Cricetulus griseus: one gene and its partner. The protein of the gene in region 1 interacts with the protein of each later gene in a pairwise test. Links are inferred from orthologs where the notes say so. Each region holds a gene or a part of one and is shown on either strand. Other genes may lie near its edges.

The links. The genes of interacting proteins can lie anywhere in the genome.
Region 2: the proteins of Rbm41 (region 1) and Ralyl interact in binary tests that used the Homo sapiens proteins (3 or more experiments, as listed by UniProt). The two-hybrid records come from large-scale screens. The link is inferred for Cricetulus griseus from reciprocal best matches to the Homo sapiens genes RBM41 and RALYL.

The regions. Positions count from the first base shown.
Region 1 is NC_048604.1:40,385,426-40,391,605, reverse strand, and holds part of Rbm41 (RNA-binding protein 41), read right to left. Parts: intron 3,279-6,180; coding exon 3,131-3,278; intron 1,305-3,130; coding exon of another isoform or gene 1,294-1,304; exon of another isoform or gene 976-1,293; intron 137-975; coding exon 1-136. UniProt on the Homo sapiens protein: May bind RNA.
Region 2 is NC_048595.1:134,729,242-134,735,421, reverse strand, and holds part of Ralyl (RNA-binding Raly-like protein), read left to right. Parts: intron 1-3,265; coding exon 3,266-3,429; intron 3,430-6,180.

The DNA of each region.
Region 1 (6,180 bases):
ATAGCAGTTGTTATAAGGGAAGCACCCTGGACAGCTGACTGTTGGTTTTTGTTCTTTCCAAACTCTATCACCAATATTTTTCCATGGAGTTTATATCCATTTATTTGATGCAATGCTTGCCATGCTATGTCTTTATCTGGAAAAAATAAGAAAAATATATCGAATTACATAGAGCTTAATCACTTGATTATTATTACAAGTTTAATTAGGGCTGGTTTGCTATAAAATCATACTAATGTTACATGTTTTTGTCATGTCTATAACCCCCAATTTGTATTTGCAAGCAAGATTAAAATAATGGGTAGTAATAATAATAATAATAATGACAAAAGGCCCTAAAATATGCATTTGATTCAAAGATATAGAAGAGATAAGGATACACAGGGAGTTAACTGAAGAAATTTTAAGTTAAACACAACTATAAACATGCCTCTATCTTAGATTATATACATGAAAAACAAATATTTCAAAATTGTTATACAAACAAAAGTTATGACATTATTGAGCATACTTAGCTACTTTGTTTCTTTTAGAGGGAAAGTGGTTGTGGGAATTCTTATTAGGATAATGTAGGGAGACACCATAACCATGCCTCCTAAGGGCTGGCTACAGGTGTGCCTGATCACGCCTGTCAAGGCATGGTCAAGGTGAGGTCAGCATGACAGGGAATGGGCTCTTAAGGGACCACAAGCACATGGGAGCTCCATCTTCTTCTCCTTCCCCTTTTCCGTGTCCCTTCTCTCTGGCTTGCTTCTGGCTGGTGTTTATCTGAATAAAAAGATATCTTAACCTTACAGACTATGGCTTGTCCTCGCTCTCGATATACCTGGCGCCGTGTTCAGGTTGGACACCCCTTTCAGATGACTTTAGGGTTTAGCTGAAATAGACATAGTTAGGATATGCAATAGCAGATTATTGTATCTTCTTGCATTTCACCTTCATGATTGATTGTTAATTTTGGATATTTTACACTATTAAGTTTTAATCCTCTTTTAGACTAACAGGGGAATTGTAGCCTCCTAAGGGCTGGCTACAGGTGTGCCTGATCACGCCTGTCAAGGCATGGTCAAGGTGAGGTCAGCATGAAAGGGAATGGGCTCTTAAGGGACCACAAGCACATGGGAGCTCCATCTTCTTCTTCTCCTTCCCCTTTTCCGTGGCCCTTCTCTCTGGCTTGCTTCTGGCTGGTGTTTATCTGAATAAAAAGATATCTTAACCTTACAGACTATGGCTTGTCCTCGCTCTCGATATACCTGGCGCCGTGTTCAGGTTGGACACCCCTTTCAGATGACTTTAGGGTTTAGCTGAAATAGACATAGTTAGGATATGCAATAGCAGATTATTGTATCTTCTTGTATTTCACCTTTATGATTGATTGTTAATTTTGGATATTTTACACTATTAAGTTTTAATCCTCTTTAGACTAACAGGGGAATTATAGGGAGACACCGTAACCACGCCTCCTAAGGGCTGGCTACAGGTGTGCCTAACCACACCTATCAAGGCATGGTCAAGGTGAGGTCAGGATGACATGGAATGGGCTCTTAAGGGACCACGAGCACATGGGAGCTCCTTCTTCTTCTTCTCCTTCCCCTTCTCCCTGGCCCTTCTCTCTGGCTTGCATTTGGCTGGTGTTCATCTGAATAAAAGATATCTTAACCTTTTAGACTATGGATTGTCCTTGCTCTCGATATAGGATAATGAACTTCTCTTGCTGACAGACAAAAAAGTTTGTGTATGAGAATATATAATGTATAGCAGGAATATTCAACATATGGGTCTCAGAGACTGTGTGTAAGAAATAAGGAGGGGGTAGACTTTGGACAAGAGTCTGTGGAATTATAAGTAGGCAATACTGAGATCATTTTGTCTCAGATATACCACAAAGTTTCAGGTGAGTATTATAGCTGTTAGGATTAGTAAAATGGTCACAAATTAAGAAGTATAAAACTGGGGCTGGGAAGATGGCTCTGATAGCAAAATGCTTCCCAGGCAAGCATGGACACTTGCATTTCAGTCCCTGGTACCCACATAAAACTCCAGGTATGGAAGCATGTACAGGTAACCCTAGTGCTGGGGATGTGGTTCCTTGTAGCTCACTGACCAGCCAGCCTGGCCATATCAATCAACTCTCAGTTCAGTGAGAAAATTAAGGTGGAAGAGCAAGTGAGTTAGCTTCTGGCCTCCACATGCACGTCCATACATGTGCACACACACATACTCACACACACACATGAACATACATACACAAACAGTATACAAACATGTACACATAATATAAAGCCTTTGCATGGTGCTTCTTTCAATTAGTAGGTTATATATATATATATATATATTATATATATATATATATATATATATATATATTCTGTGAAAGTCCAGAAATGTTCACTTCAAAAGACTGAAAACCAATGGTACGAAGAATTTACAAACCTTCAGTGAGATAGAAAAGATAGTACAAGGTCATATGAAAGCAATGGAAAGAAGGTCAGCAGTTTTCATGTGTAAATCACTTACCCACACAAAAATTAGCAGAGCATTAAAATGACAATTTAGAGGTAACAAAAGATACAGATATTATCTATCTTCTTCCCACAAAAGACATAGTGGCTAACTTACTATTGAAATCAAAATTACTGTATTAGTCTTGCAGTTAGATTAGAACACAAGCCATGTACTGATATGCAAGTGATATTTGAAAGAATGTATCATCTTTCAATAATTATGAATTGGTAATGAATTAATTAATTAGCTTAAAATCACTTAGTCCTAAAGGAATAGGGCTTCTGAGTATATGTCTTCTGATAACAATTCCAATATATTAACTATGAATAATTCTATTATAATATAGAGCAGAAATAGTATTGTCAATAAAAAGAAAATAAATATTGGTAGGGTAGAAAGGAATTGCCAAAAATTGGGAGACGGAGGACAGCGGGGTAAGGTGGTTATGCAGCATCCATAGAGAGGAGAAAGTAAGTACTGGAAGGAAGATCTGGGAATGCAGGAAATGTATTTTCCTTATCAGCCCCTTTCATGTGCTAAGGCTGTATCTAACTCAGCGAGGTAATAGGTAGTCTCATATGAACTGATACTGCAATGGAGTGATTATCTAGATGAAGTTACTTACTGGGAAAGGTGATGAAAGCCTGTCCCCTCATGCGTCCACTCATGATTTGAAACTGAATGGGTGGTCCTTTTTTCTCCTGGAACCGAGCGAATAATGAGATAAGGTCTCTTTCTTTCACCCGAGGACTAAGGTTCTTCAAGTATAGCACCTAATACAAATTGAAAAGTGACAAAAATATCACAGAAAGAAAGCAACTCTTTCATTATGGCTTGAATTACTTTCAGATGGGAGACTGAAGATTCATCTGATGTTATTCTCTCTAGTAAACTCTAAAACAACAAGTCCTGAAACCAACAATGTCAGAAAGAACTCAGAAAGAAGGGAATAGCAACAATGTTCTGGAAGATACAAAATAAATAGCGAGTAGGAACTAAGCACACCAAATAAGGCTCACTAGCAAATGCTTTGGGCAGAAAATCCAAGCACACAGTGAATCTTCTTTAAAAGTCTTCAAAAGTCAGATGTGGGCTAGGGAGGTGGCTCAGTGGATACAAGTGCTGTACAAACCTGATTTGACATCCTTGTAAAAGGCTGGGTGGATCCCAGCGCTTGCTTACCAGCCAGTCTAGCTAGTTAGCGATTTCTAAACTCAGTGAGCCCCTATTTTAAAAAGTAAGGTAGAGAGCAACAGAGGAAGACATGTGACACTGAACTCTGGCCTCTATGTATGCGCATACACACACACACACACACACACACACACACACACACACACACACACACACACACCCTCACATATATATGACAAATATAAAAGCTTTCAAAGTTGGCACAGTGATGAAAACCTATAGTTCTACCAGCAAGGAAGGCTGAGTTGGGACAAGAGTCCACTCTGGACAACATAGTGACATCCTGTCTAAAAATCAAATAAATATACAAAAAAGAAAAAAATTAATGCATGCACAAAACGTTCAAGAATTGATAGCTTCAGGTGGCTCTGGAAATAGATGTGATTAGATAGGGTTGAATGAGGATGGTAAGTTGAAAGCTGTTGTAAACTGAAATTAGATCTTTACCCTCTCTGCAACTTTAGTACTAGGTGAGGGCAACTCACCAATCCTGGCAGAATATTGAAGGTTGATTGTCAGTAAATTTGGAATGTCTCATATAGTTGAGGTCAAGAGTAGTGCATTTTGAAAGCAAGGAGACTGAAAGAATGCCTACCAAATACTGGGAACACCCATGATCTGACTACCATTCCTCTACTAATACTGGTAGCTCCTTTACAAGAAAGCACAGGGAACAGTCTCCTGCAGGGGAACTAATCCCCAAGAAAGATCAAAACACTGACTTGGAATAGGGGAGTTCTCCAACAGATGATCCAGCCAGATCATCTGGTTCATTGTTATTACTGTTTTGTTTCTGTCATCTGGAGACAGAGACTGACTATATAACCCAGGCTGGCCTAGAACTCACAATCTTCCCGCTTCAGCCTTCTAAGTGCTGGGATTATAAAATATCACCTTGAATTCAAAGTACACAAGGCCATGATCTCAGAACTTGTAAACAACTTTACACTCAGAAATAAGGACAGGGATTATCAGGCATATGAGAAAGGCTTCTAATGTAAAGGACAGAGAATGGGCAGAAAAGCAAATGAGAGAAAACAGAAACAATGAAGAAAACAGAATTAAAAATCAACAACAAAAACCAACCTGTGACTAATACCCTCAGGAAAATATTCTATCAATTAGTAATAGGATGCTATTGAAATTTTAATAGAACAAAATACCATCTTATATGTTATTTAACTTACATATTATGAGCTTAAAACGTTGTTCTAGCCACGGTAATCACAAAGAAAATAAACACATACAGAGGAAAATGAGAAAAAAAGGAAATATCCACTGACCAAGTGGATAAAGAGAGGGTAGCATATACATAGACCAGAATACTATTTAATCATTAAAGAGAAAAATCCTATTATGAATGAGATTTTTCTGCAAAGAAACCATATCTAATACTGAACCCTGTAAAAGGCTGAAAACTCCAATGACTGTGGAGAGGTTGGGATGATGCAGGCCCAGGGCCTATCTTTAGCCACCCCTAATATTCATTCCTTGCCCACATCTGTGTCTGACCCAACACACTTGTGATTAACAAGTGAAATCTTGTGAAATGTATGAACAGACCACTAGCTTCCACCCACCAAAATGCTAAGAATGTCATCAGAAAGCATATGAGGTCTGTAGCAGTGGTTTCTCCAACTTGCTGTAACCCACCTACCTGATGTTTCCACCAATATACTTGAAAACACCTTGATTTATGATTTTCTTTGTTCTTCTGTTACTATGAAAAGTCATTAAACTGTTACCATCTTGCAGCATGGATTGTGGGGTAACCTGAACTTGTATTACCAGGTCATAGTTACTGATATCTGGCTCAAAAATAAACTATCTTTTATCCTTTTTGAGGTAAAAGTTATGTTTTTTGTTTTCCATTAACACTATCATATGCTATGACACACAAACTTTTATGAGCACATGCTCAGTGACTGAGGACAAATATTCTATTATTTTACTTAGACAAAGCATTTAAAGTAGTCCAAATTATTGAAGCTAAAAGTATAATGGCGGTAAGTTACTGGGAGGGGAAAATGGGGGAATTGCTTCAGTCATAGAAGAGAAAACCCTACAAACCTGCTATACAACACTATGCTGAGGCCAACAACACTGTTTGGATCCTTAAATCTTTCATAGAAAGGCAGATCCAATGCACTCTTTAAACAATACAAAAAGGATGGGAGAAGGAAAAGTTATTTAACATAGTTTTCACTTTAAAAATTAGGAAAGACTTTACACTAGAACAGAGAATAGCCAGGAAATGACTGATACAGTTGCTGAAATATATGAAGAAATACATTAAACATTATTAAAAGTTACTTTGTAGTGGAATCTTTAGCTCTAACTCTTAACCTTAAAAAGCAATGTGAGACTAAAAATTAAGCCCAATACACAGCAGAAGATGGCCAACACAGAACAAACCTCAATGGTATGACTGTAAATTTTTTGCCCCATTATTGCTTTGTTTGGGCATTTTTAAAAAATTGT
Region 2 (6,180 bases), on another chromosome or scaffold:
GACGTTGTTCATGTATTTTCCCAAAACACAATTATTGTTACTATACTATATACTAGTACTATATATTCTCAAAGTAATGAAGTGAGTATATTCACTATCTGTGTTTATGTTAAGATGGCACTAAATTGATTTTATCCAAAGCACACCTGCTTTAAGGATAGGGAATGAAAATTAATATCCTTCTTCTAAGAGACAAGCTCTGACAATTTTATCAAATAAATAAGTATTAAAATTAGGCTTATCAGCTTTTAAATTTTGCTAGGATGTAATAATATGAATCTCTATTTAAAGCAAACAACAGTGTAACAATAAAATATGTAATTTAAATGTTTCTGAAATGAAAAATGAAGCTTCAAATTCTTCTAAGGGCTACATCAGTCTTATTACTACTTTTATTTCCTTGACAAATAGAGGGAAGGTTTTTGAGTATTCATTTCAAAATTAACCTTGGAAAAGGGAAGATATACTCTTGGTTTTGTAATATCCATTATCTATTTAAAAAGTATCGGAAGTTTTTTTCTGAGTAAACTCTATTAGGGGAACTAAGATACCCATTAGAAAAGAGTAGAGATATAATTGTAAGAACTAGTGAAATAATATGATGACAATAAAAACAATTTAAATACTTCAGCCAACCTTTGAAATGTTGCTTTCATTCCATTTTGCTTGACTGTAATTTTTTAGACAGCCTATAATTTCAAGTGAGTTGTCCTTACTCCCAAAGCTATTTATAAAGATAAACTAATTTTATTTACTGAAGAGTGAATTCTGATGAAAAAACTAAGCTGTCTTCTTGGTATCCCAGCTACTTCCTTCTTCATTTAGACACTCTAGCCATTCTCCCAAGCCTAGAAAATTAACCCTTTTCCACTTAGCATGCTACAGTTTGTGCATTAGAGCCATGCCCAGATTCCTTGCTTACATTTCTGATAACCCAAAGGTGCCCAATGATATTTAAGACAGCTTCCAATTCCATTAAATAGTATAAACATTAGAATTTTGTTCACATTTGAAGTACCCATACCTTCCTTTCATCTTGTTTTTATGTTACTTACGACATTAAAACAGTTAAGCTCTAATGCTTTCCACAGTCACATCAGAGTGGCACAAGGCACTAGTAAAGATCCCACCTGATTCTTTGATAGAGAAAGCCACTGGGCATTGAGAGATGAGGCCTGGGAAACCCAACACCAGACAAAGGTTCTGGAACACAGCCTGTAGAGTATGACAACATACTGACAAATGTTTCAGTGACCTAGAAAGTGGCTTTAAAGATTAAAGAGCATTGTGATTAGGTTAACAATGATGTGGTGGTTAATTTTCTCAGCATGTCCACCAGAGTTCTTATCTTTCTGGATTCCCAGACTCATTGCACTATGCAGATTTTCTTTACCCAGTAAACAGGTTTGTTTATTTAAGGAACATCCTCAGAGCACATGAAAAAACGAGGGGAACCTTTTACCTTAAATGGTAATTTCTCACGTGAAGACAGAGCCAAATGGCACATTTTCTTCCTCTTGATTTTCTTGGGTATTGTTCCTTGATGCACTGACTTAGGGAACTCTTTGAATTCATCTTATAAATAACTAATGTACACCTTGTTTTGTGATGGAAATGAGGGGCAGATTTTCTTGACCCTTCTGATTTTCAATTCTCTGTTGTTACGGATTGTATTCACCACCCTTTCTGCCTCATCCAGCTGTGGGCTTTGAAGGAAACCCAAGTGTGCTGACATCTACTGCTCTTTGCCAGTAGGTCCTCTGCCCTCTAGTACTTTGCCAGTTCATGCGGGATGGGGCCTCCCTTGACCTCTGCCACATTTGACATCTTTTCCCTTCTAGGCATGTAGGAGATAATCTTTGCATTAAAAGGTCCCTTTTAAACTTAAGCATTGTCCTTTTATCTTATTATGTAATCTTTATAAATATTTTTGAACAAATTATTGAAAACCAGTTTATATTTTACCATGTTCCCTATATTAGTTTCCCAAAAGAGATTATAACATTTTCAGACATATATGTACACAACATGCACTTCTATAAAATAACTTCTTCTAGAAATTTTTTTCACTATTTTCTTCCTGATCTAGTTTCTCTTCTCTGAATTGCATATTGCCTTATTTTCTGGATTTCATCTTCATTTAATTATTGACTGTTTTAAATCAATTGCAAACTAAAATTTATGTAATAGTGTCAAAATCAAATACCTAACAACCATCAACATAAATCAATAATGTCTTTTCTTGTGTTCTTGGAACTATAATTATATATCTTTTTTGTTAGAAAATTGTTTTAAAAAATAAATGCGTAAATATAACCCAGCATTTTGTCCCTAAGTTGTTATGCTTCTCAAATATGCTATCATATAAAAATTGCTGCATATGTGTTTGCTTAAGAAGTAATACGAATCATTCAAATCTCTGAATGACATATTTCCATATGTGTGTTAACATTATATACCTTTATTCTTTTGCTGTTCATTGGAAATGCATTGCTGTAATGAATATCAGCTTTTCTTTCAGTCATAGTAGGACATTTACTGATTTTCTTTTTGGTTAGAAAACGTTTCGCTAGCTCACTGAACAAATATCTCTTTCAATTTGCATACGTGGAAAACACTCAGAATAACCAAGTGTTCTAATTATCAGTTCCCTATAGTGTTTTGTTCAACATGTTTGTAGCCTTGTGCTAGCTCTGTTTCCTTTAAACTCGGCCTCAGTTAGAGGGGCCCCTGATTACCTTAAGTACCCTGAGAGGTTGGGTACCATTTAATATGGTTCCTACACTTTCTTCTTAAGTTTGTTTTATTTCTACTTTTTCCCTTTACACTGAGGATTCTTTTTTTTTTGGTTTCTTAGTTTATGATATGTGTAATCATTCCACTCTCAAGTAAATTTAAGTGCCCAATATATGTATAAGTTCCCAAAGTGTCTGTTCAACATTAAGGTAAATTTGTTTGCTCAAACAAAGAAATATAGCAGAGTACAAAGGTTGACCTGATTTTGGCAAATTTCATTCTGCCTTCAGAGCAAAGCTCCTTTGCTTTATTATAACAGTTTAGAGTCAGGTCAAAGTCTAACTTGCAGAAAGAACATCCCATTGCCTTCTGAAAAAAATTGAACTAATTAATAAGTATCTTGTCTGTATAATAAACAAGGATAGAAGTATACTTGCCAAAAATTTTATAGTTATTCTATGAATACTTCCATGTGTTTCATAGAATGTTTAGGCATTTTACCAACTCTCAACCATTCATGTTTGTGAAGGCTGTTTGATTACCATGGACGTGTGCCTCCGCCTCCTCGAGCTGTCATTCCACTGAAGCGTCCCAGAGTGGCTGTCACCACCACACGCAGGGGGAAAGGCGTGTTTTCCATGAAAGGGGGATCCAGATCTACTGTTGGTGGGTCATCTTCATCAGGCTCTAAATGTAAGTACCTGCTTTATTTCCCTTTAAACTCAGCCTCAGTTAGAGGGGCCCCTGATTACCTTAAGTACCCTGAGAGGTTGGGTACCATTTAATATGGTTCCTACACTTTCTTCTTAAGTTTGTTTTATTTCTACTTTTTCCCTTTACACTGAGGATTCTTTTTTTAAAAAGTAGGAATAACTATTATTGATAAATGCCTACAGCATTCACTACCATTCAGCTACCTGGTAATTATCTATAGTTAAATTCCTCAATAGTGCACTACAGTAGACAGACAATAAAAAAGATAACCTAGAACTGAATTTAATCCTGGTAAATTACACTGTATTCTCTGCTTTATTGGTGTGTGATAGAATGAAGCCTGGAAATAGGACATGTTGCTTTTAATGGAGGAACACTGTCACTTTAAAAAAGTTACATAGCCTTTCTTTTCAGAGAAACATGTAAATGGTCTATGCTTCAAATATTTTTGGAATAGGATAACCAAGATTCAAACTGGGAAAATGATATAATAGAACTTTTTAAGCATAACTTTGCAATTATCCTAGGTTACTAGGAGAGATATGCATCTGAATAAATAGTTCCTAAATAATTAAAAGTCCTTCCACTATTTCACCTAGTCTGTAAATAGTGGAGATGCCAGGTTTCTAGCTAAGTGTGTATATTAGAAAATTTTATATAGACTGATTGAGGAAAATCTCTACATTTGCATTAGGATATGATTGCTAAAGAAAATAATAAAATTTTCTGTCTTTTTCAAAATTATGTTTTAGTATAGAAAAAGTAGTAGATAAGGTGTTACACCATTAGCATATGACAAAGAAAGTCTTAGAGGAAACTGGGAGAGCTGTGGTTTATACAGTGGCCTGTGATTATCTGTTCCCAGGAATACTTGAGCAGAAACATGAAGGAAGTGAGGGCAAGAGCAGGTACTCTTAGCATATTCAGGCAGAGCAAGGAATGGTAGGCAGACATTGGAACCTCCACAGTGAAGGAACAAAGAAGCCATTGAAGCTGGAAAAGCAAGAGAGGGGAATGTGCCTCAAGACAGGCACCAGAGCATGCCTCAGGGCAGCTTGCTAGATTTTAGTTACTCAATATCACAACCCTTTAAGACATAGATAACAAATACCCCGGTTTTACTGATGAACAACTGTCTTTTCTTATGGAAATGTGAAAAAAGCAGATAAGCAAATAAAAAACAAAAATCATTCACCTCAGATCTGACACTGATGACAAACCAAAGGAGCAATTCTGTCCAAGTCTATTTTAGCGATTCAGTGATTTTATCAGGGCTGCAGGGGCATGGTGGCAAGGTTATTCACAGGCGTTCCGAGGACTCAGGAGCAGCCACACCACTGAAAAGCCCACATCAGCATGGCTGATGATTTAAGAAAGCAGCATACCTGGAGCTCCCTGCACGATTTGCGCCTCAGCTAAAGGACTCTCTCTTTCTCTCTCTCTCCTTTTCCCCTCTCTCCAGTAACTGATATAGCTTGTATAACCCTGGGTGGCAAAGAGGCAGGCATGAATCTTGTACACTATAGGAGCTTCCAGAGACTCGGGTGGTAGAGCTTAGTTTCTAAGTCTTAGGGGCCTCTCTCCAAGTGGAAATGAGTCAATGTAGAAAGAACAACTACAGGATATCAAACACAGGGCCGAAAACTCAAACTAGCGTCACTGCTAAAAGCCAGACCCCTTGATTCTCACACCAATATAGTAGGTACTTCGACATCATCAGAAATATTAAAATACACTATCAGATTACTCTATTTTTTATGTGAAAGTGACCTATGACATAGTTCAAGGACAAGCTACAAACGATTTCTAGAAACCTGAGTTTGGTTTGCAGAGTTCACTGAGATGTTGCTTGAGCTAATGCAATCACAATAGCAAACATAGATTTGATATTATGATGTCTATTCTGCAAATGGACAGTGTGAATTTCATCTTGAGTCAGAATGTGAGAAAACTGATGTCTGGTGAAACATGTAAACACTCTAGCATGTCTTTAAATTGACATTAAGAGTAAAAAATGTTATTGAATTTGGCTCTTGTGGAAACACAAAGATGAATTTGTGTCTAGGTTTGCACCATTTTTTATATTAATGTTTAAAAAAAGACAGAAACATCAAAAGCACTGTATACTTGTTGTCCAGGGCTCATTCATAAAGTGGTCTACAAGCAGAAATGCCACTGGCATCTCTATATGCAGGTCAGCACTGAGTCTCACACTCAACTCTACAGAGCATTTATAATCCCTCACCTCAAACCCTACGGCCGAGTAGCACAGTTTAAAGTGCATACTTATCACTTATTGAAATACTTGCTTCCAAATAGCCCCACCCCCGGAGATGTTGCCTCCTGATCTTAGACACACTGATTTAGGATAATACTTGGTAGTGTAAGCCATGGCCGTTATCTGAGAGGTACCATCATTATAAAATCAACTGTTTAGTTGTCATGTGTTACCAGGAGGGGCCTAAGGAAAACAGAGACATTTAAAGGTTGTTTTGAAGTTACTATCTCAATATTGAAATTATTCAGTAAATTTTGTTCTCCTTTTTTAATTTCTAACTGTATTAAGAGGATAAGAACTATAAAACTGCTTTCAACATCTTATTAAGAATTTCTCTCAGTTCTGAAACAATGATTCCCACCAGGTAGATTGTCTTCTCCTGTGTGCACAGAGACATGTTTCGTAGTAAATAGATGGTAGATTGGAACACACATCCTCTTTAGAGTTGCTTT